Linked DNA regions of Coturnix japonica. The protein of the gene in region 2 binds, or shares a complex with, the protein of the main gene of each other region. Links are inferred from orthologs where the notes say so. Each region holds a gene or a part of one and is shown on either strand. Other genes may lie near its edges. The genes, in order: CNOT11 and CNOT6.

Region 1 (11,412 bases), on a different chromosome or scaffold from region 2:
GGCTGTGATGTTATCGCAGTGGGATGCACACAGGAGGCTCTGCCCATGAAGGGCATTTCAGCAGTGCATTTTCTTAACCCTTACTTGACAGTGATAGTTCCTGGCAAAGAAGTCACGCTGACATAGAAGAACGGAGACGGCTGTTGTTTGCCTCAGCCCTTGCCAGCTGAGGTCTCTGGTGCCACAGTTGTGAATTTAAAGGAATATCTAGAGTAGGAGTGATGGGCGGCAGCTACACTTAGTGCACGAGGAGAGCTGCCTTTACAGAGCCTTATGGAGAGCTTGCTCTGACCCACCAGTGCTATAATGAACCAGAGAGGGAGATCAGCGCGTGAATGAGGCATTGCTGCTGCCTGCAAGATGGCTGTGCCAGACTGAGGGAACCACTGTCATGTCGATTAGATGAGTTTTAATGCTGTGATAGTAGGATGTCTGTGCTGTGGTTGCTGATGCCAAACCACAGGCTCCAGCGAAATAGTAGGTGGCTGAGAGAGAGTGCACTTCTCCAGCTACACCGACTGCATGCGTGGGTCCTTATTGTGATCTCTGAGAGAAACATGGGAATGACTGGCAGCCAGGGGCACGGCTGGATAGGTCTGCAGATGGTGGCTGATGGCAGGGAAACATTTATGAACACAAGCATGGGATGCATAGTTCATGAATAAAAGGATCCTGAGAAAAGCGAGTGTTTCCCCCTCTGGACAAAGCAATGCCTTTTTACAAATAGGAGGTTTCTGCCCACTGTTCCATTATTTGAACCACCTTACCATCTTTTGTCCTGGCCTGTGTAGTTATATGCTGAGGTCAGATCACCTGATGGGAAAAGATGGTTTAATTATATGTGAAACGCTTACAGAATGGTTTCAGCTGCTGAAGGCAAAATGGCTCAGCCTCCCAACTTGTTTGGATGCCAGTGTGCTCCGTGCCATTGGTGTTAACACAGCACTCTGCTTCTGCAAGAACATCAGTCAAGGTTACACTCTCTTTTTTGAGGTAACATACGTGCTTGCGAGGGTTTTATAAAATAACTGGTTAGATGTGAACCTATCCCTGTTTTTCTTGTGCATTTTGTTCACCATAACAGCATTTACCTATAAAACACTTGCCAGGTATTAACGGAGATGGGGATGAACCCTTCTCTAGCACTGGCTTTGCATTTCTTTTCCACCATGTTCCTTCAGCCACCGCTGAGAAGCTCCCTGTAACATCACCTCAAAATTCAGTCACTCTGAGGGTGAGTCAACAGTCCAACAACCCCAGCTGCTTCTCTTCCCTGTGCTGTGGCTCTCTCCCTATCTCTGAAATACTGCCAGGTACCCAGGAGAGCCCCTCTAGGAACACCTAGTGGTGCTCAGGGATATGATTTAGCAGAGGGTTGTTAGAGTTAGGGTACTATGGTTAGGCTGTGGTTGGACTTGATGATCTTCAAGGTCTTTTCCAACCTGGGTAATTCTATGATTCTATGATTCTCTGAGCTGTCACTGCAGCCCTTCCCATCCTTGAGACTTGAGGGGGTTACACACATCACAGCAGAGTTACAGCTGCACAGAAGTAGACTTGCTATCAAGGTGCTGCTGCCTATCAGCAGAGTTCAGCCAGCTGACTTCTCTAGGGAGGGAATGGATAAGGTCTCTGTCCCAGCCACTGACTGTCATAGAGCGTGCACACATTTAACACTTCTGAAATACTTTTGCCTTTTGGTCATGTCCAGCTAAAGAAGATGAATGGTCAGAAGATGATGGGGGGAGGGAAGGAGCCAAGGGGGCTGATTTGATAGACTGACAAATAGACAATGCGATTGCATCAGTCTCATTTCCTTAGGAAACTAGGCTAAAAATAAAAAGGCTTTATTTGCTCCTGGGAATAAAGCAGAATGTCTCTCACATCTTTACAAAACATTTGTTTCTATGTGTACTTATAAACAGTCAGGATGGGAGAGGAAGTTTGCACCGGGTTTTGAGAAGAAAATTACAAGGAAGAGCCAGAGGTGCATGAGTTTGAAAACCCAGGATACTTGTAGACATACAGCACAGCAATAGAGGCAAGGTCTTGCACACAAGTGCCACATTACTGATGCGTCAACTGTTGGCCTGCAAACCAACCTGCCTGTTAGGCAATTTTTTACCTCTCCACAGAATGAACACACTTCTTCTTTGGTGAACATGGATCAAACCCTATGTGCACTCTGAAGTCAGCAGGCTCTCACAGATGGAAGTTGCTGTGTTTGATCAGATTTACCATCCAGAGATTACTGTTACCAAGACTAGCTACTTCAGAGGAAACTCCCCCCAGAAAGGCCTGTTTCTGCATAGAAAATGCCTTTTGTTTATGAGATCTAAAATGACTATTTCGCTGTTTTATCAGCTGGTCCCACACTGGGGGTGTGCTTTTATAGCTGTATTTAATGGACAGGGAACCAAGTAGTTCCACATCCTCCAGAAACCTCTGATTGCTGTGAGACATGACTGCCAACACAACATCCACAAAAAGGGAACAGGTCCGTCCAGGTCCCATTGAATGGCAGCACAGCCGTCTGGGGTGTGTGTGTGTGGCTGGTGCAGCTTGTCAATGCTGCTGTTTGAGCATCACCTCCAAGTGACCATACATGCAAGTGACACTTGGGTGAACTGAATGGCTGCTTCGCATCCTGCTCACTGAATATACAGAAGCTCCCCCCGAAAGCAGTGCTCTCTGCAGGGTGTAACAACTGAGTTATTCAGCAAATGAGAATGGTGATGTGTCTATCTTCCCGTTTCATTTTGCTGTTTGTTTTTCTTAGCCCGAGTTAGTGTGTTCCATAACTCAGCTAATTCCTATCTACGGAGTATCCTGGAGCAGTTTTCTTCACTGTGAAGATAAAACACTGCATTCACCAACAGCACTGACTGGGTCTGCGTCATTAATATCTTCACTTTGACCACAGCAGATAAACAAAGATATGTGCAGATACAGTGATCTGTTGTTTTTCCCTTTTACTTCCTTGTGCCGAGGATTATGGCTTGCTTGTTTGAAGACACTGAAAACAATATACTTCTAATGCAGCTGATTGCAACAAACAGCATGGGGGAGGATGGAGGGAGGATTTAACTGGTAAGAGATAGTGAAGGTTTATTTTAGTAGATAAATATTGTACTGCATTTGCCTCGTCTTTGAATCGCATTAAATATACACACTCTTAAAACACTATTGAAATGTTCGAATGCCAACATTGCAAATGAAAATCAATAGGATGCTATTAGGCTCGTTATATTGCTGCGATGCATCATTAAAATGCATTTTAAAAGCTTTCAATGCAAAATGGGAGATGGGATGAATGTTTTGAGGAAGTGCAGCACACTTAGAGACGGCCACAAGAGAAACTTGGTAGGCAGATGGAATGAAAGCCCTGTAAGGAGTTCAGTAGATACAGGAAATAAATGGGAACATTACAAAATGAATGAGACGAATCTCTGATACAGACAAAACAGTGGAGCTTCACTGTTGCTGGAGGAAAGTAAAATCACCCAATACTTGTTCTTTCTAAAGGGAAAGAATGAGGAGGGACTCTCTCAATGTCTGGGAGTTTAAACAGGCAAGAAGGACAACGCATTTCCAGTCCCCAAACACACACGTTGTTCTGCTTTCATACCTGACCGCCATTGCTTGCACTGTTCCTGGCACAGGATGAGAACACAAACCCTCATCCTGCACCTCACTGAGCACTTTCTCACTAAAACCATCAGATCCTGCTTTTCTCCTTTCCTTCCAGGAGTCCTCAGTTCCTATAAACAAAGAAAAGTAACTTCAGACAGAGATGAATATTCCCCCCTGCTCCTACTAGAGCCATAGCCTGGATTTGAGTTCAGCACCCTACAGGCAGAGGAAGAAACAGAAGCTGAAAGTCCCCCCTCCTCGAGCATCAGCTCTGATCAGCTCTGAATTATTAAACACTTTATCAGAAAGCAGATTTCAGATTAGTGGTTTAAGCACAAACAAAGCCCTCCCTCCTGCAAAGATCCAACTGATATTGATTTGAGATGAAAACAGAAACAAAGCGTAAGTCGGAGTCATCGAACCAGGGAACAGAAATAGTGCCAAGTGAGTCAGGCGTGCAATTGCAGAGCTCAGACGATAAAAGCTGAATACTCCAATTCAAGTTCAGAGTGAAGAGTTTCCAAGTGATGTTCACATAGGAATCCAAGTAATCATAGAATTACCCAGGTTGGAAAAGACCTTGAAGATCATCAAGTCCAACCACAGCCTAACCAGCACCCTAACTCTAACAACCCTCTGCTAACTCATATCCCTGAGCACCACATCCAAATGGCTCTTAAACACAACCAGGGATGGCGATTCAACCACCTCCCTGGGGAAAATAATAATAATGACTTGACATGGGCTGACACTTGAAAACTGCCTTAAAATACCCAAGTGTCACTACAGTTCACAGAAGCTCAAGAATTTATCACCAACCATGTTTGTTTCTGAATGACCATGGAACAGCACATATGAAGCCATTGTAAAATCGTATCTGGGGTGTTTTTACAAAATACATCCAAGAATCGCTTGACATCTTTGAGGTCTGATGAACAAGTGAAGCTCAGGAAGGCTTTTAGGCATTGTTAGCACGCCAATATTGTTGATTACTCCAGGAGTAATAAATCTGTTTCTGTTGTCTCATGGTAGGTTTTGAACTGAAGAGCTGAACTAGGAAAGATAACATGCAATGGTCACTAGAAAGCTGCATATGGAGAGGCTCACACGAAACCTAACTTCCCCAACCCTTTTAGATTTGTTGCTATTAAAAATACACTGTAGATGGGCAGGGTCACTTAAATTACTAAGGGAAGGAATCTGTGTACAAGAGAAAAGCCTTGTGAGAATAAACAAAACAATCTGGATGTGTTCTGATTTCCCCTTTGACTTCAAGGTGTGACTTAATTCCTTCCCATCGTGTTCTTCCCATGTGAAATGTGGGATAAAAATACACCAGTGGAAGTTATTTCCTAGCTGAAGGATTCAGCTTCTTCGCTAGAAGAAACTCAAACACTTGCTGTGAAGCAGGTCAATTTAATATCACTTCTTTGCCACCTTTTTCTTTCACCTCCCTCCTGCTGCCTATTTCTGTTGCTACCTGAGCAGAAGCACCACAGATCTACTTGAGAGTGGATGAGCACCCAGACAACTTGCACACACCAGAAGCACAAAATCCGCTGCTCAGTTTCAGGTCACAGAATCTCAGAATTGTAGGGGTTGGAAGGGACCACTAGAGGTCATGGAGTCCAACCCCCCTGCCAAAGCAGGCTCCCTACACCACGTCACACAGGTAGGCGTCCAGGCGGGTCTTGAATATCTCCAGAGAAGGAGACTCCACCACCTCCCTGGGCAGCCTGTTCCAGTGCTCCATCACCCTCACTGTAAAGAAGTTCGAACTTCCTATGCTGTACTTTCATCCCATTACCCCTAGTCCTATCAGATGACAGCACCACAGGGCGGTGTGCGTGGAACGCGCTGCGCTCCCCCTACTGGCCCCAACGCCCGTCGCGCTCCGTCCCCGCCCCGCCCCGCCAGTCCCGGCCCAATGTCCCGGCCCATCCCCTGCCGTGCCGTAAAGCGCGTCCGGCGCCTCAACGCTCGGCCTTCCGGTGTTGTGCAGCGGCGGGGCCGTGCGCCGTGAGGCGGATGCCCGGGGGCGGGGGCAGCCCGGCCGAGGCGGGCGGTGAGGCGGGAGGAGCGGGTGGCGGCGGTGGAGCGGCGGGCGGCAGGATGAGCCTGTCGCCGAAGGAGCTGACGAGCCTGCTGGGCATCGTGTCGGAGGAGGCGGGCGGCAGCACCTTCGAGGGCCTCTCCAGCGCCTTCCACCACTACTTCGGCAAGGCCGAGCATTTCCGCCTGGGCTCCGTGCTGGTGCTGCTGCTGCAGCAGCCCGACCTGCTGCCCAGCCCCGCGCAGCGCCTCACCGCCCTGTACCTGCTATGGGAGATGTACCGCACCGAGCCCCTCGCCGCAAACCCCTTCGCCGCTGTCTTCGCCCACCTGCTCAACCCCGCTCCCGAACGCGGCGGCGACGAGGCGGAGCGCACCCCGCTCTCAGGTGCCGGGAACGGCCGGGGCTGTGACAGCGGGAAGGGTCACTCGTTTTGCCGTAACGTTACTGTACGAGATGATCTCTCCACGCTTAAGGAGCACGCGGGGTAGTGATGGCCTCAGGAATCTTACCGCTCCCCTCTCTCCCCGCAGGCTTCTTGCCGCCCATAACCCCGCCCGAGAAGTTCTTCCTCTCGCAGCTGATGCTGGCCCCCCCCAGGGAGCTGTTCAAGAAGACCCCGCGCCAGATCGCTGCCATGGACGTTGGCAACATGGCCCAGTCGGTGGATATAAGCGGGCTACAGCTGGCATTGGCGGGTAAGGAGGAGATGTGGCTGTGCTGTGATAGGAGAGTGGTTAGGCCCTGGAACAGGCTGCCCAGGGAGGTTGTGGATGCCCCGTCCTTGGAGGTGTTCAAGACCAGGTTGGACGGGGCCCTGGGCAACCTGATCTAGTAAATGTGTATGTTTGGTGGCCCTGCCAGGCAGGGGGGTTGGAACTACATGATCCTTGAGGTCCCTTCCAACCCGGGTCATTCTGTGATTCTGTGAAATGTTAATTGCTGTTTGACTTTGAGGTGCTTCTGTCTGTGTGGCAAAAGTTGGACTGTGGTCAGGTTTTGCAGTGTTAGCTCACACTAAATGTTCTGCCTTTACTAGGCTATAAGGAACTCAGTGCTTATTCTTGGGCAGGAATAGGATTGTTCTGATCGTGTGGAGCAACAAGTTGCATCTAGAGCTGATCTGAAATGGAAAATATTGCTTAGAATGAGTTGCCAACTCGAGCAGTTTATTTCCTAGGTACTCTATTCTGCACAATACAGTACTTGGCTTCTAAACTTCAGTTCAGTTGGTGACGTACTGTAACAGGTTGCCCAAGGAGGCTGTGGATGCCCCATCCCTGCAGGCATTGAAGGCCAGGCTGGATGTGGCTCTGGGCAGCCTGGTCTGGTGGTTGGTGACCCTGCACATAGCAGGGGGTTGAAACCAGATGATCACTGTGGTCCTTTGCAACCCAGGCCTTTCTATGATTCTATGATTCACTGTGGTAACTTTTCTTGTAGGCTCTTCTATTGAATGTCAGTTGCTGGAATAGAGCGTCTTGATTCTCCAGATCAAGAGAGCCTGATAAAACATAAGTGATTGCATTCGTAGGAATTGTTTTCTTCAATTTGAACATACTGGTTCAAGTTGCTGTGTTCTCTTCTGAAATACAACCGTGTTCTAGCTAACAGCGCTCACCCCTTCCTTCTGCTTACACTGGGCTGCCCAGGGATGTGGTGGGGTCACCATCCCTGGAGATGTTCGGGAACATGTAAGAATGTATCTTAAACTTTTGTTCTAATTAAGCATCATTAGTCATTTGAGATGAGGGGATTTGAGGGTATACAACCAATCCATGACTTTATACCTATATAGGTGTAAGTTTTAGACTACGGATGACAATGAAGGACACCCAGTATGTCACCTTGTTTTCTTCTCAGAGAACTTCTTACGTTGACTCAGCTGATCCCTGTAGGAGCTGAATGGTAGAACTCACAAGCTGGAATTTCCAACAGCGTATAAAGTTTGAGCATATATTCCAGTGTTTTGCATGGGCTGACATAATTGGAAGATGGACATTTCTAGTATAAACTAGCAGTAGGCAGAGCTTTGTGTCTGTGTCCTTTTGTTACCTACAGGAGTTTTGCTGTAAGCGTCTCTCATGGATCTGAAATAGAGTTTCATACGGATGAGGAGCTGCAAAGGGTTATATGGCTGCACAAAAAAGTGTGCTTTGTTAAAAGAGATAAGGATGGGGTACTGAAGCTGAGGGCACTACACTTAATTAATCATCCGGATAAGAAATGGTGTTGATTTCGTGTGGGACCAGCAAATTTGGCCTTCAGATTACTTGAGACTTTATCTGCTACTTAATATCCTCCTTGGGAGGGGGAGGGAAGGAACATAAGATGGCATTGTATGGCAGGCTCTTGGCTTTCCTGCATGTTGTTGGGCTTTTGTTGGTTTGCTTTTACCAAGGTAATAGAAAACATGGTTCTCACTAATACAGAGAATATGGAAGGTCAGCCCTTAAGCCTTCAGGTATGGAAGAGCGAGAGACTGTGACAGAAGAACACCTAAAATTTGACAGTGCAAATATTGATTGGTTGTAATAGTTTATTTTACCACTCTTTCACGTCTTCAGCTTCATATGCTAAATTTAGTATTACTTCTATGTACCTTGTTTATGCTCTGTAATTTGGGCTTTAGAGGGATGCTCTTACAGGACTTTATAGCTGTAACTGTAGAATCCTGTATCAATTAAACTCCTATGCAAAAGCAGCTTACGTGGTGCCACTGAAGTGTGTTGGCTGAATCTGAATAGGTGACTTCAGTTCTAGTATGACCCTTATCATTGCAGAAAGTAAATGTATCTCTGCAGGTTTCTCTCTTCACTGCTCTGAGAAATGATTGCAAAAGTAGATAGAGTTATGCGAACTCTTTCAGGACTATCATGTGGATGTACTGATTTGCTTGTAATATCACATTGCATCAGTTACTTAAAGTCAAGTCTGAGATTCATTTCTACTTCCTCATCCTTGCTGCTGGCTGCCTTCTATCATCTGGTAGACTCAATAGTAGCAAGTACAGAACTAAATTCCATGTTGTTATCTGTTCGGGTTTTGATTTATTGCAGCTAAAAAAGCTTTTGCTTAGCTTCTAGCATTTTGTCATCTCTTTCAATTCCATGCTTTAATACTGTGGACTGTCCTTCTTGCAGAGCGTCAGTCTGAGTTGCCGACACAGAGCAAGGCCAGCTTCCCCAGCATCCTCAGTGATCCTGACCCAGATTCTTCCAACTCCGGTTTTGACAGCTCTGTTGCCTCCCAGATCACGGAAGCATTAGTGAGCGGACCAAAGCCTCCTATAGAAAGTATGTACGTTTTCACATCTTTTTGTTTAACCTCACGGTGTGCTACGTTGTTAGTCATCTCCAGATGAAGCATAGTATGACTCAAAAATGTTTTCAAGGTATGAAATGGGAATGAAGATGAACGAAGCAGTGCAGAACTGTATTAAACTGTCTCCAGATCAGTCTCCGTCATGTTCCCATTTCCAGGCTTTTCAAAACCTGGAGTCTGCCTCAGTCTGATAGATGTGTTACCTGATGCTCCTCAACTCGCAGCCCCTTGCACTAAGTTCTACTGTAACACATCAAAGAGTCAGTAGCATGGGAGAGAAAAAGACCATTCATCAGTGAAAGAAGCAGTAACGTAGCGATCCAATTCAAGAGGAAAAACAGGCTGATGTAACAGCATCACTAAAAATGAGGAATAAATACTTTCCTGGGAGGAAAATAAGACCGTCATGTGCTTCCCACTGTTGCTCTAGCTTAAAAAGTTGAGAACCTTGGAGATACCCTTGTACTGAAATAAAATGGAGCTCAATGTATTTCACTTTGTTGTCTTTTTTAGGTCACTTTCGGCCAGAGTTCATTCGTCCACCACCTCCGCTCCATATATGTGAGGATGAATTGGCATGGTTAAATCCCATAGAACCAGACCACGCGATTCAGTGGGACAAGTCAATGTGTGTTAAAAACAGCACAGGAGTTGAGATAAAAAGAATTATGGCAAAAGCTTTTAAAAGTCCCTTGACTTCCCCACAGCAAACACAGGTAAGTATTGTGCCATTTCCTGCTTAAATTGATTTTCGAGCAGGCTGTCTATTAAACCTACATGTTTTCAGTTTAAATTATCCTAGTTTTCTAATTCAGATTTCTGTAATGATTGGGTAAGCATCCAGTAATCCAAGCTCTCAAAACTCAGTGCGTTTTTACTCTCAATAACTTCCTGAAGGGAGGTTGTAGTGAGCTGGGGGTTGGCCTCTTCTCTCAGGTAATTGGTGATAGAACTAGAGGGAATGGTTTTAAGCTGTGCCAGGGGAGATCGAGGCTGGACATTAGGAAGTATTACTTTTCGGAAAGGGTAGTCAGGCATTGGAATGCACTGCCCAGGGAGGTGGTGGAGTCACCGACCATGCAAGTGTTCAAGAAACGTCTGGATGTTGTGTTGATGAATATGATTTAGCTGGGAAGTATTGGTAATGGTTGGACTAGATGATCTTCTAGGTCTTTTCCAACCTGATTCTGTGCTTTTGGTTATAGTACATATGAACAAGATAAGTCTTTAAACTTCATAGCGTTGACTGGATGTAGTTAAAAGCTGATCAGTAAGCAAGCGGAACTGATACCTTTCTGTGTGTGAAATCTCTTGATAACCAAGTTCCTTTTCCCTTCTACAGCTCCTTGGAGAACTGGAAAAGGACCCCAAGCTTGTTTACCATATCGGTCTCACTCCTGCCAAACTGCCAGACCTCGTTGAAAACAATCCTTTAGTAGCCATCGAAATGCTGCTCAAACTGATGCAGTCCAGTCAGATAACAGAGTATTTTTCTGTCTTGGTCAACATGGACATGTCCTTACATTCAATGGAAGTTGTCAATCGGTAAGTGGATGAGTGGATAAGCCAAATGATATGAAGAATCTCAGTACTCAGGCAGTATGGAGGATTGAAATTATATTGATTCACTTCTATAATTTACAGCAAATGTTTGTGTTAATGTCAGATGTACTGAAGCCCAAATTCATCTCTGCTTCTGTACTGGGTTGGGTTTAAAAATGAAACATGATCAGCAATAGATTAATATCACAGGTCTAACTCTGTTCTGCAATGGAATCGCTGAATTTATGGCTTCATGAAGTATTTGATGTCTTTAATTTGAACAGGCTTACTACTGCAGTTGATCTCCCTCCTGAATTTATTCATCTTTACATCTCCAACTGTATCTCCACTTGTGAACAGATTAAAGACAAATACATGCAGGTGAGTGCCCTACTAAGTGGGTTAGGAAAAAAGGTCCCATATCTTGCTCTGTGTAATACATGCTTAGACTTTGTTAAGCTTAGCTCACACCAGGTGTGGTGAGTCTTGACCAGTTCCTCCCTTGGCTTTCTTTTCTCCATGCTGAAGGACTGCAACCTCATCAGGCTTGTGCAAAGCAGCCATTACTTTCCTTTAAGCTTTTTGGTTTCTTTCTTGAGTGCCTGCTGTAGCTCTCAGATGGTTTGAGATGTCCCTGGTTGTGACAGCATCTTAAGCTATCATCCCTTCTCTCAGGACTTTATAAAGTTACATAATAAAGAAGTACAGTACTGTAAAGCAGAGGAGCCTGCTTTTTTTAGATACAGTAGTGATAGGAGAGGTAGAAGAGCATGAGCAGCATGTTCAGAGCTTGAGAACAAGAGGACTGCTGTACCAAAATTACTCCTGAAGTGAAGGGGCTGTTGCACTGCTGAGGGCCA
Region 2 (10,666 bases):
ACAACATAGGAAGAAAAAATAAAAAGAAACAAACTTGAACACTGAATGGCAGTAGGGAAATTCTGCTGTACTCACACAGGCACAGACAAGAACGGGTACCATACTGAAGTAAGTAGGAAAGCAGGTGATTGGCGAGTTCATCTTAACAAGTCAGAAATATCATAAACATTAACAATTACTAAAGCATTTAGTAACTACCAGTGATTAAGCAGTAACAGCTCTGACAAACCAGGTCGTGAAACAGCTCAGCTGATAATTATATCCGAGAAAACAAGTAAGCAAAAAATTCAGGACCATGGTAGTAATATGAGAGCTAGGACATTACTGTATTAGTGCAGTTACAGTTCTTTGTGGTTAAGGTCTTTTGATAACATATAAGAAGCAGTGTGCATGCCTCCCAGGTAATCCATTCTCTCCATATAAGCTGCTTGCTTTTGTCACACAAGCAAAGTGCATATTGATCTGCTGTGTACGCATGTCCAGGCACACAAAAAACGAGTTGTGTCTCTCACCAACACTGTTTGTTTTCACAACACAAAATACACCTTTTTTTTGTTTCCAAAATTGCAGAACAAACACAAGAACAGAATTTGTGTCTGGCGTTCTAACATTCCAATCAATCAGGCAGAGAAAAACAGACTTCTTAGCAAGCTTTCCAATTTCTTAAAAATCAACCCAAGCTGAATTGAAGACTTTGCTCACAATTTCCAGTGTTAATTTGCTTCCTTCAGATTTCTATGAGGTTGCATTTGAAAAAGAAACATCTCTTCTTCCAGCCTTGTAATAGTCAGCTCTACCAGGTCCTTCCCCAGCAGTGACTTCAGTGAACTCACTCGGTTTCAGCGCAGATTAGAAAGGGTGCTAAAGATCGAGGGGTTTGTTTCACCAATACTCTGAGGTGTGGAGCAGTGGAAGATGAAGGGGGAGATAAAGGCTGTTTGTAATCAGCCAGTTTACTAGAAATGGCAAGCCAGTACTCGGCTGACTGACAGGCTGTAACACACCGAGCCACCTGGTCTGTAGTTATTTTTGTGTGCTTTCTTTTTAATATGAAAATCCTACAGTTGAAAACAGCCTAACTCAGAAGCAGCCCACTGTGTCACTGTGGGTTTCTAAGTATGAACAAGACAAACAGCAGGTTAAAAAAAAAATAAATTATGATATTATTAAAAAAAAAAAAAAAAAAAAAAGCGAAAACATCAACATTCCCAACAGTTCTCTGCACTTCATAAACATTTAACATTGAAATAGGTGCTATTTTTTAGGGATAACATTACATGTGACATTACAAGGGTCCTAATTTATTCTTTAGGAAGACATTTTTTCCTACAGCAGCTTTTCAAAGCACTACTGAAGTTGAAAAAAAGAAATAAAAAAACCTAATTATATATGAATTAAAAAAATATATTTTAATAATAAATAATAATAATAGCTCTTCTACATCTTCTAGTGGAAAATGAGCAAGAAGGAAGAATGGCAGACAAGGAGGTATCATTACCACTCCTCTCCTGGATGAAAGAATTTGTTTCTCTAACGATCTATGCTTGCATGGAACCCTCCTGTACAGAAGGGACAATCACAGCAAATTCCACTAGTTCTTTCAAGTGTATCAAGAGAATCTGTTTCAGATCTGAGCTTTCTGAGATTGCATGTTACAGTTACTTCTCCTCTTTCCTCAAAGATCAGACATCTTACTGCTCCCCCTGACCCCTCTTCCTTCAGGCACCTGCAGTAAAAAGGGAGATGCCACGAGCCCTGGCTGAGCTCTGCCATAAAGCCCAAGCACAGTTCTCTAGATGTGGGAGTTATAAGACCTGTTACCAATGCTAAAGTGTGAGAGTGCAAATTATTTCTGTGGCTCAGGATATTAGCAATGCCTCGTGCTGAATTACTGTTAGTTTGATCAACTCCCCAGAATCTATGGGAAGCATCTGCAGTAAGAGCCAGCCTGAAACATAAAACTACAGCACAGCTGAGACCTGCAGAGCGCTATCACACAGGATGCACTTACGGATTTTTCTTCACTTTCACCACAGTGAAAAGAAATCATGGATCAGCTGCAATTACTGAGGACAGAGAGAGCGCAGTGGATTAATGCACTAGTTCTTTGTGTCTAGAGACCTGGATTTCAGTGATATGTTTTTGTCACAAACAGAACACTAGTTTGATCCTAGGCCTTAGCTACACATTTCACCCTCACTAGCTTTATCATTCTCTACTGAAGAGGGGTCTGGGACTTGGCAGAGCTGAAACTCCAGAGAATCAGGATAAATTGGGAAAGCATTGTGAAGATGGCACTGTATCTTTTGACACTACTGATGACTATGCAAGGGTAAGCTAACGTCAGGTAATGTGCATTAATTTAATAGCAACACTATAGAAGGAAAGAAAAAGACTGATGGAAATAAAATGATGCTGATGAAGTATAAAGATGAATTTGAGAATGCATCAGTAAATTTAGGATTGCTAGCTTACAATATCTGAGGAACAGATAAAGGAGAGAAGACAGTTATCATAGATTGAGATGTGAACTACTTTGGAATTTGAGCTTTTAGTTCTAATTTCATCTTTGCTAAAGTAGAATAAAATCCACTGACTAATATTTCTATGTAGAAACTTGCTTGGCCTTCAGTTTCATTAAAGCTCTGCTGGAGGACCATTACTTCTTTTTCTTCTTCCTTACTTCCAATAAAATTCCAGTTACTTTTAGATTCAGGGATTTCTGAGCTGACCATAAACATCTTCAAAATTAAAAGTAATGAAGTCAGATGCTGGTAATAAACCTAACAATAAAGCTTTTTTTTTTTCCCTCTGGTCAAGGGCAGAAGAATATTGCTTGTAGATATTTACCTTTATATGTCATTTATGTGTTTACATAACAGTGTTCTGCAAACAAAATGAAACATTGCAGTTTTAACTATAACACAAACACTCATTGCTACTCATGTTTCACTTCCAAAAGGAGGCATCATTCCATGAATACTCTGAGGAGCTAAACATTGTAAAATTCAGTGAAAAAGTTGCATATGGTAAATATTTTTTCCTCCTTAATTTACAGGAACGCAGTTAAATTACAGCAAAGTTGGGAAAGAGACGACATTAGGAAAGTTGCATTAGTTATTAAACCTAGAGAATAAGAACAAATATTATTAGGAATAATGAATAAATAATAAAAAACAGTAGTTAATACAACTGTTGATGTTTAATCGGACCTTTTTCCTACATTGCAATGAGCTAAAGGCAATTTTCTGCGTATTAGTATTTCTTAGTTAACTCCAGAAAAGAGTTTGGGAAGAGACGCATAGGAGAGGAAACCTGACTTGTAAAGACATAAAATGGGTGAGTGCTGTCAAACTGAGCATTTCTAGAGCTCATTACATATATATGATGTCATACATCAGAACAGGAGAACAAGTGAAAAAAAAAATAAGGAAGAGGGAATTTATTTATGCTTACATTTACTAGAACATCACTATTATGCCAAAACCCAAGCTGTTTGTACAAAGATAACAGCTAAGCAACTTTAACTCCTGTTATAAACCCACATACCTGAGTGACACCATGTTTCCGAGCTCTGCTGGTAAACTGCGGATTTTATTAGAGGACAGGTCCAGATAAACCAGATTATGAAGCTTGGCAATGTCTGAAGGAATACGGGATAAGGAATTGTCACTGAGATGCAAAGCTGTCAAATGGGTCAGTGTCCACAACGATGAACTTAAGCTTCTCACTTTCCCTGTGGAAGGACGGTAAAGAAAGAAAAATTCAAAAATTAAAATCAATGTATCTTATAGATTCAAAGAATTAAGCACTACCATATGTGAGACTGGGAAAAAACAACATAGACTTAAGTTCTGAGCTTTGGTCTTTTCTCAAGATCCATACAAAACAACAGACCTATTTACTGACCGTCCCCCCAACAGTTAACAGATGTTTTAAGAAACATTTCCTCAATTACTGTTCATGTTTGGGGTATAAGATGGCTCTTCAATTTTCCCCTACTTTCAAACCAAAAATCTTTGTTCTGTGGCATCCAGCCAGCCAGGAACAGACAGAAGTACTATATTCGGGGTGACCAAAATGCCTGGTTGAGAACACGGATTTCCATCTGGCATTCAGCTGAAAGCTGAATACATCACTGCCAGAGATTTTTTAAAAAGGTATAATTTTTGTATAAACTGAAAGATGGAAACATGGATTTCTGTTACAGAATCAAGGCTGTTACATCACAGCACACAAACAATGTGAGGTATAATCAGAAGGTCTCAAAACATTTCTTCTCTCCAAGACTTTTTTTCCCCCAGGAGGAGCCCTCTTTTCATTTACAAGAGTCACTTAACTGTGCCAACAGCACTGAAGGAAGAGCACCACCATCAGTTTCTCTAAGGTTAAAAAAGCTTGAAAGCCTTAAAAAACCTCAATGTTAAAAACAGCATCATTAAAAACAGCATCATTAATAAATACCCCAACGCAAACACATAATAATTCCTTTTATTATGAAGAACACTATTTAAGGAAACAACTCACATTTAGTGCCTGGGAAAAGCTACACTGATACATTTGTATCTGGAAGGCAGTCCCTGGTAACAAAATGTTTAATACAGGTGTACTTGTCAGGGAGCTACTTGCACACAAAAGCCCGCAGCAAAGAGCTCGGAGATTTCAATAAAAGCAATTAAAGCATTTGTGGCTTTCTGTAGCAGATGACCGAGTATTTTGCACGGAAAAGACACTGTGATCATCAATGGAACAAAGGCACTGCCACATTTTACTCTGCAAGGCAAATGCAAACAATTCCTTCAAGGGTTCATTCTCCTCTCAAGCTCATTAAGAATTTTTCTGAAACGTTTTTAAGTACAAATCAGGATTTCTCTGCGTTTCTTAAAGCTGCATTAACAACTCCTCCCTCTCTCCTACCCTCTAAATGCAAACAGGTGACTGCGATCAAAGAAACCTTTCGAGCAGGAAGGATTTATATATTCCCTTCACCACCTACATTTCTCTTGGCTGGAATCAGTCTATAGTGAGATCACAAAGCATGAAAGGAAAGAGCTATTACTTAATGCATTTCCTATGCATAAGTAGCAGATGTCCAAGTGGATATCCAAGCCTAAATTAATGCTTCTTGAAGCAGCATTTAACTAGGTTTCTGCACCTGTAACCTTTGAGTAAGTACTGTAATTCACATGTACTGGCATGTGGCACTTGAAAGATGACACAGATTCAGTGATCTGGAAGGAAAGACTTTACAGTTAGAAGTCTATTTGCTTTCTATACATTTATCTATTGAACAGCCATTTAGAAATACCAATCTTTTAAAGAAATTCCTTATTTAATCAGAATTTCAGCGTAAAACCTCAGTTTGTTATTGCTTCTTCCAGTCAACCACCGAATATAACACATGGAGCTTACAATTTCTTTCCTACAGCTGTTTCATACTCCCTATGTTTCTCGTTCCAGCTTGTACTGTGCAGGTTGCTTTTAAAATACACTGAAATCTTAACTGAGGATCATTAACCGGTTTCTCACCACTTATTTCCAACTCTGCCCAGTGTGATTTCTTTCCATTGGCTGCTTCCTCTGAGGACATAATTGTGTACATCCTCCGTGGATCAGGTGGATCGTACTTTTCCTTGGGCATTCCTGTCGATACAAAATCACAAAGGATTATGACATTTTATACTGAGAATTCTTTAAAAGGTAATTTCCATTCTACAGCTAAATATTGTACTGGATATTCAATACAAATATTTAAAGGTAATCTACATCCATTTCTAAGTGTAAAAGCCTGCTCTCTTAGAGGAGCTCAGATCCAATGGTATAAGATAAAAATCCAACCCCAGCCCCCAATAATTTAATTATGTCTGTAATGCAATACAAACATCCTGTCCTGACACCTTTCACAAGTACACCCCTGTATTGCTCTGCAGACATCCCATCATACCGCAGTCTCCTTCGCCTTTGGCCTACAGAAGCAGAACCTCCAGCAACCACTACTTGACAAAGAAACTTTCAGACTTTTGGGCTTTCTGTTCTCCTTGCTGGTCAGAAAGCTGCTTAGAATAATAACCACATCCAAATTCCTTAACAACAAGACTTCAGAAATTGATGAATACCACCACTACCATGTTCCCCTTCATATAAACTACTGAAAACACTTGCTACTATTCTTGTCTACCCATCACTTCCAGGCTTACTGCAGCCCTCAACTCACAACACAAATTCAGCAACCAAGAAAAGAATATTTCTAAAAGGATCCTCAATTCTTCAAGTCTGCAGAACAACAGTGCTCTAATCCAATCCTCAGCCTACTCTTCTGAGTCTAAAAACATCATTTCTAACATAGAGATTCAGATCAGTTTCTTAAGTTTTACCGTTAAGCATCTAACTGACCTTAACTTCCCTCACTCTCTTCCTCATCGTTCCTGATAAGAAATTCAGAAACATTTCTGATCAGTGCTTCTTTATTACTGCAGCCCAGTGTAGACAGTGGAAGAGAACTGCTAAAGGTTCTTCTAGGCAGAGCCCTCCCACCAGCATTCCTGTATGGCAGCAGAGCAGTACCAGCTCTGTGCACAGAGAAGGAATGAGAAGGTGGCACTGCTGTCTCCTCTCCACCTCAAGAAAACAGTATTTGGGATTCAGTCAGTAGAAAAGGGAAAATGGCTTAAACATACCTTGATTTATATAAATACTGCATGAATTGACCCATTAGTTGCATGTTTTAAGGTTACAAAGAACTTCCAATATACATCATTTTTACCACAAATAAACACTAGCTTAGAGTTCTATGCATACGTAAGAGCTTCTATGGCAAAGTTCCCCATCTTAAGTGGAAACATCCACACTGAGAAGCACGAGCCATAAACCATAGAAGTGATGTGTGTGCAATAACTAAGTTAAACAACAGCATCTCAAAACAAATTTACAAATACATTTCAAGCAATGCAATGCAATTCCTAGAGCAAAACACGTAACAGCAATGCAAAGAAATGCTGCTGACACCCCGACAACACCCAGCTATCACACCTAGCGAAGCTTTCTATCAAGTCTTTCCTTCAGCCCTGGACATACTTGAGTACATTAGAAAAGCACTGCACTCCAATGGAACATTAACAACTAATAATCCTCACAAGGCCATTGACCAGACCTACTTACCATTCATTTAATAAAAATTATTTAACACATTAAAAAACAGAAGACAGATAATTATGTGACTTTATTAAAACAAAGTCATCCAGCCCCAAGTGCTTACTGTAACGCAGTAACTCTTGTACTGATTCACACCTCTTCCCTTTCTCACTGCTGGTCAGAGTCAGCTCCACCCAGGGACAAGAAATTCCTCTTTAAGAAGTGAATTCTGGGTAAAGTGCTCAGATTATAAATAGCAGCTGGGATGGGTTCCTTACAGAATGGCCATACCTGAGTTCTGGGGATGCTAAAAATCATTAAGTGCTAAATCATCTTCTTTAAACTAAGTTCATTAAAAAGGTAAAAACTGAAAATCACCAGAAAGGTAAAAACATATTTTAACCTTCTAGTAGCTATCTAACGAATGTAATCATAAATGGCAAAACAATACATACAGCATCTCCTCTGAGCCTGCTACAAACAAGCACATGTTCACAAATGCCATCCCCACACAGAGCACTGCTGCTGTGCTCTTCCAGGGAGTGTTCTCCTCCCTCCCTCATCTGATACATTCTCTTCCTGCAGCTCCTGCACTTAATAAACGTGCTCCACTTTCTAAAAACGAAAGCAGGTAGTACCAGAGACAGAAATCTCATTCAGTACGGAAATGCGAATACTCCCCAGAGCACAGTCAATCACACGCACTAATTAACAGACTTGCTGGTACCAGCGCTACATGGCTCCCTGCTACCAAAGGAGGATGACATACTTTTCCAGTGGGTTTTGTTCATGCACGGTAACACAACTGATGAGATTTAACAACTGAAGGTTTTAACAGAGAATATCAGTGTGCCCGTCCTGCCAGTCTGTCAGTGTCACCATCTGACCCTTCTCAGCATTCCTCTTCGATGGATTTCCCTTTCTCACTGCTGCATTTCAAAGTGCAAAGACTAAGCCTAGGATCACTCAATAGCAGAAAAAGCAGCGAGTGCAGACAGGGCAGCTTTGCTCAAGGAGCAGTCCTGGCTGCAAGGAACAGCACCGACGTGGGAAGTCACCCCAGCAGATCTTTGTGCACCTTCATTCATCAGGTAGAGCTGAAGATCTCCCAGGCCCTGACAGCCAGACTAAATGTGGGTCACGTTGGCCACCACAGAACACAAATGGGATGCCTTGAACTAAATTTCAAAACTTCCCAGCAGGGAGTAGATGGATAAATCACTGCTTTCTACAAATCACTGTCTCCTTTCTCCACCTCCCCCATTCCAAATTTAGAACCTGCTGAGGTAAATGTCAGATGAAGGGATATGGTTTTGTCAGACTAAAGCAATTTTAAGAGGCATAAAACGGTGCTGGACAACCTCAAAGCCTTTGATAAGGGCTGCTCTAATAATTAACTTAACACAGCCATCATTTACATCTCATTTTCATAAGAGTTTACACCATCTGTAATTTTCAGTTGCACCAGCACAGTCTGGGGAAAGCATTGCTGAATACTCAGCTGTTACACACACCACTTAGTTGGTAAGGGAGAAACAGTTTATCAACAAAGATAGGACACAGATAACAGAATGCATTCCACACAACCAAAATTAAATGTGAGGGCGTGTGATTATGTTTAAATGCAAATTAAATTGTTTACTATCTTGTACCGGCTTGTTAGAACTACATTTAAAAGATGAAACAAAATTGCTTGAGAGCTGATGACAAGGACAGCTGCCCACTCCAACCCCGGTCACTCAATCCCAATGCAGAATTAGGACTCCTAACCTCACAGGAGCTGAGTTAAACCAGGCTGGTGATGTCAAGAGCAAAAAGGATGTGACACAGGAAATCAGATGGAGAATCTTCAATGCAGACACAACTTTATGCCTTTGTTTGCATGAATGGCTCTGAGAGAAAGAGAGCAAAAAGAGACACAAAGTGAAGAAAAATATTGAAGATTGCCAAGTCAAGGGAGGCCAAACCGTTAGGAGAGCTGACAGTGATGACTAATGCAACAAATGGATGATGGAGTGCTGATCTGGGCATCTCTCAGGATCACTAGAGACAAAGCAAATTACCACAGGGCTGAGTTGCACCTGCGCCAATTGCTGCCCAGTTCTCCAGGTTAAAGCAATGAGTGAAGTCAGGTGATTAAGAACCAGGTTAGCTGTTCTAGAGAGCTGTCCTGGAAAAGAGAAGGTGTCATCACCAGCAGCTGTGTGAGTGCTGCTCCATTAAGCAGGTGCTGCTCTGCTGTTGAAGAGCATTTGTAGCTAAAGCACCAGTGCTGTTGGGAGTATAGGCTTAGGGGAAGTTAATGGCCTATAAAGGGAGAGCTGCCTAAGGGTCAAGTCATTTCTGCTATGGTGCTTTCCACATAAGGATGAGGAAAGGCCACAGCACAAGAAGCAGCCCTATGGAGCAGTACGTCTCTTAAGTTTAAGCAAAATAAAAGGCGGAAGTTGGGTTACAAGGCGGCTAAAAATCCAAACAACTCTAGAAGGTATTATTAATTAATGCCTCTGAACTGGAGAGGTGATAGTGTGGGGGAACCACTTGGAGTGACAAATTTGGAAAGAGGATGACTTTTTCTTCCTTCTATCCTTCCCTTTTGCTAGTTTTATGCAATCAGAAAATGGCAGGAGAGCAGGGCTTAACCAAAGTAAAGCTTTTCCTATTAAAATAGAGAACAAAAAGCTACAGATTTACATCTGAAACACCACGGACAAATTTTATTTCAAAGCTAAATATGTTAGGCAACTCCTGTAAGCCAAGTCTACCATCCATCCTTCAACTATTAAGTTCCCCATAAAACATTTCCTAGAAGTACTAACTTCTTCCATATCATATATTAAACCAGGTGAAGGAAACTTTTATTTTGAAGCTTTACATGAAACACTGAACCAATGAAAGCAGTGTAAGTTAGTATTTAGATACCATTTTAACTTCCTCTGACTCCATCTGTTATTCTGGAAGAATTACTGTAGAATCTATGAAGGAGCCTCTGCAAAGTCTACTTACAAATACATAAGGACCCTTAGATGTACCAATGCACAAGGCTTGAGCAGCAGGAATCAGCTTCTGAAACTCTCTGACATAAGCTGAGGACTTCTCGCTTCTTTTCCCCCATTACTTGAGAACACTAAAACTGATATAGATCAGAAAGCTTCTGGAAAGGAGAAGTAAACAAAGTAAAACTACACCTGACTGAGTGCATTGTGAAACTTGTTTCTTTTTACATCAAAATTGTGAATAAACTATAAAAATCAAGTAAGGCTGGAAGCAAGCAGATAAATGAAGTGTGTTTTTCTTGTATAATAAGCACACACTGACTGGCTGCCAGGATACTTCTGCTCTGTTGAAAGCAGTAGGAGAGGCTGCAATCTGCAGTACTAAAACAATGTTTACTATATAGTATAACCTAGTCAGTCGATCAAAGATCTAATAAGATGATTATAACCCGTGAAGCCTTCTTTTTCCCCCTCTCCAACACTGGATATTCACACCAGATCAGTCCTTTGTAACTTTGTGCCTCTAACCTTGACACTTC

The links.
Region 1: CNOT6 (region 2) and CNOT11 share a complex: the UniProt entries of both Homo sapiens proteins name them as parts of the CCR4-NOT complex. The link is inferred for Coturnix japonica from reciprocal best matches to the Homo sapiens genes CNOT6 and CNOT11.

Annotation. Positions count from the first base shown.
Region 1 is NC_029516.1:120,249,407-120,260,818, forward strand, and holds the start of CNOT11 (CCR4-NOT transcription complex subunit 11), read left to right. Parts: upstream 1-5,589; 5' UTR 5,590-5,661; coding exon 5,662-6,073; intron 6,074-6,219; coding exon 6,220-6,384; intron 6,385-8,829; coding exon 8,830-8,982; intron 8,983-9,523; coding exon 9,524-9,726; intron 9,727-10,352; coding exon 10,353-10,555; intron 10,556-10,836; coding exon 10,837-10,933; intron 10,934-11,412. UniProt on the Homo sapiens protein: Component of the CCR4-NOT complex which is one of the major cellular mRNA deadenylases and is linked to various cellular processes including bulk mRNA degradation, miRNA-mediated repression, translational repression during translational initiation and general transcription regulation.
Region 2 is NC_029528.1:4,231,616-4,242,281, reverse strand, and holds part of CNOT6 (CCR4-NOT transcription complex subunit 6), read right to left. Parts: intron 5,644-10,666; 5' UTR 5,642-5,643; coding exon 5,530-5,641; intron 3,737-5,529; coding exon 3,550-3,736; intron 1-3,549. UniProt on the Homo sapiens protein: Poly(A) nuclease with 3'-5' RNase activity.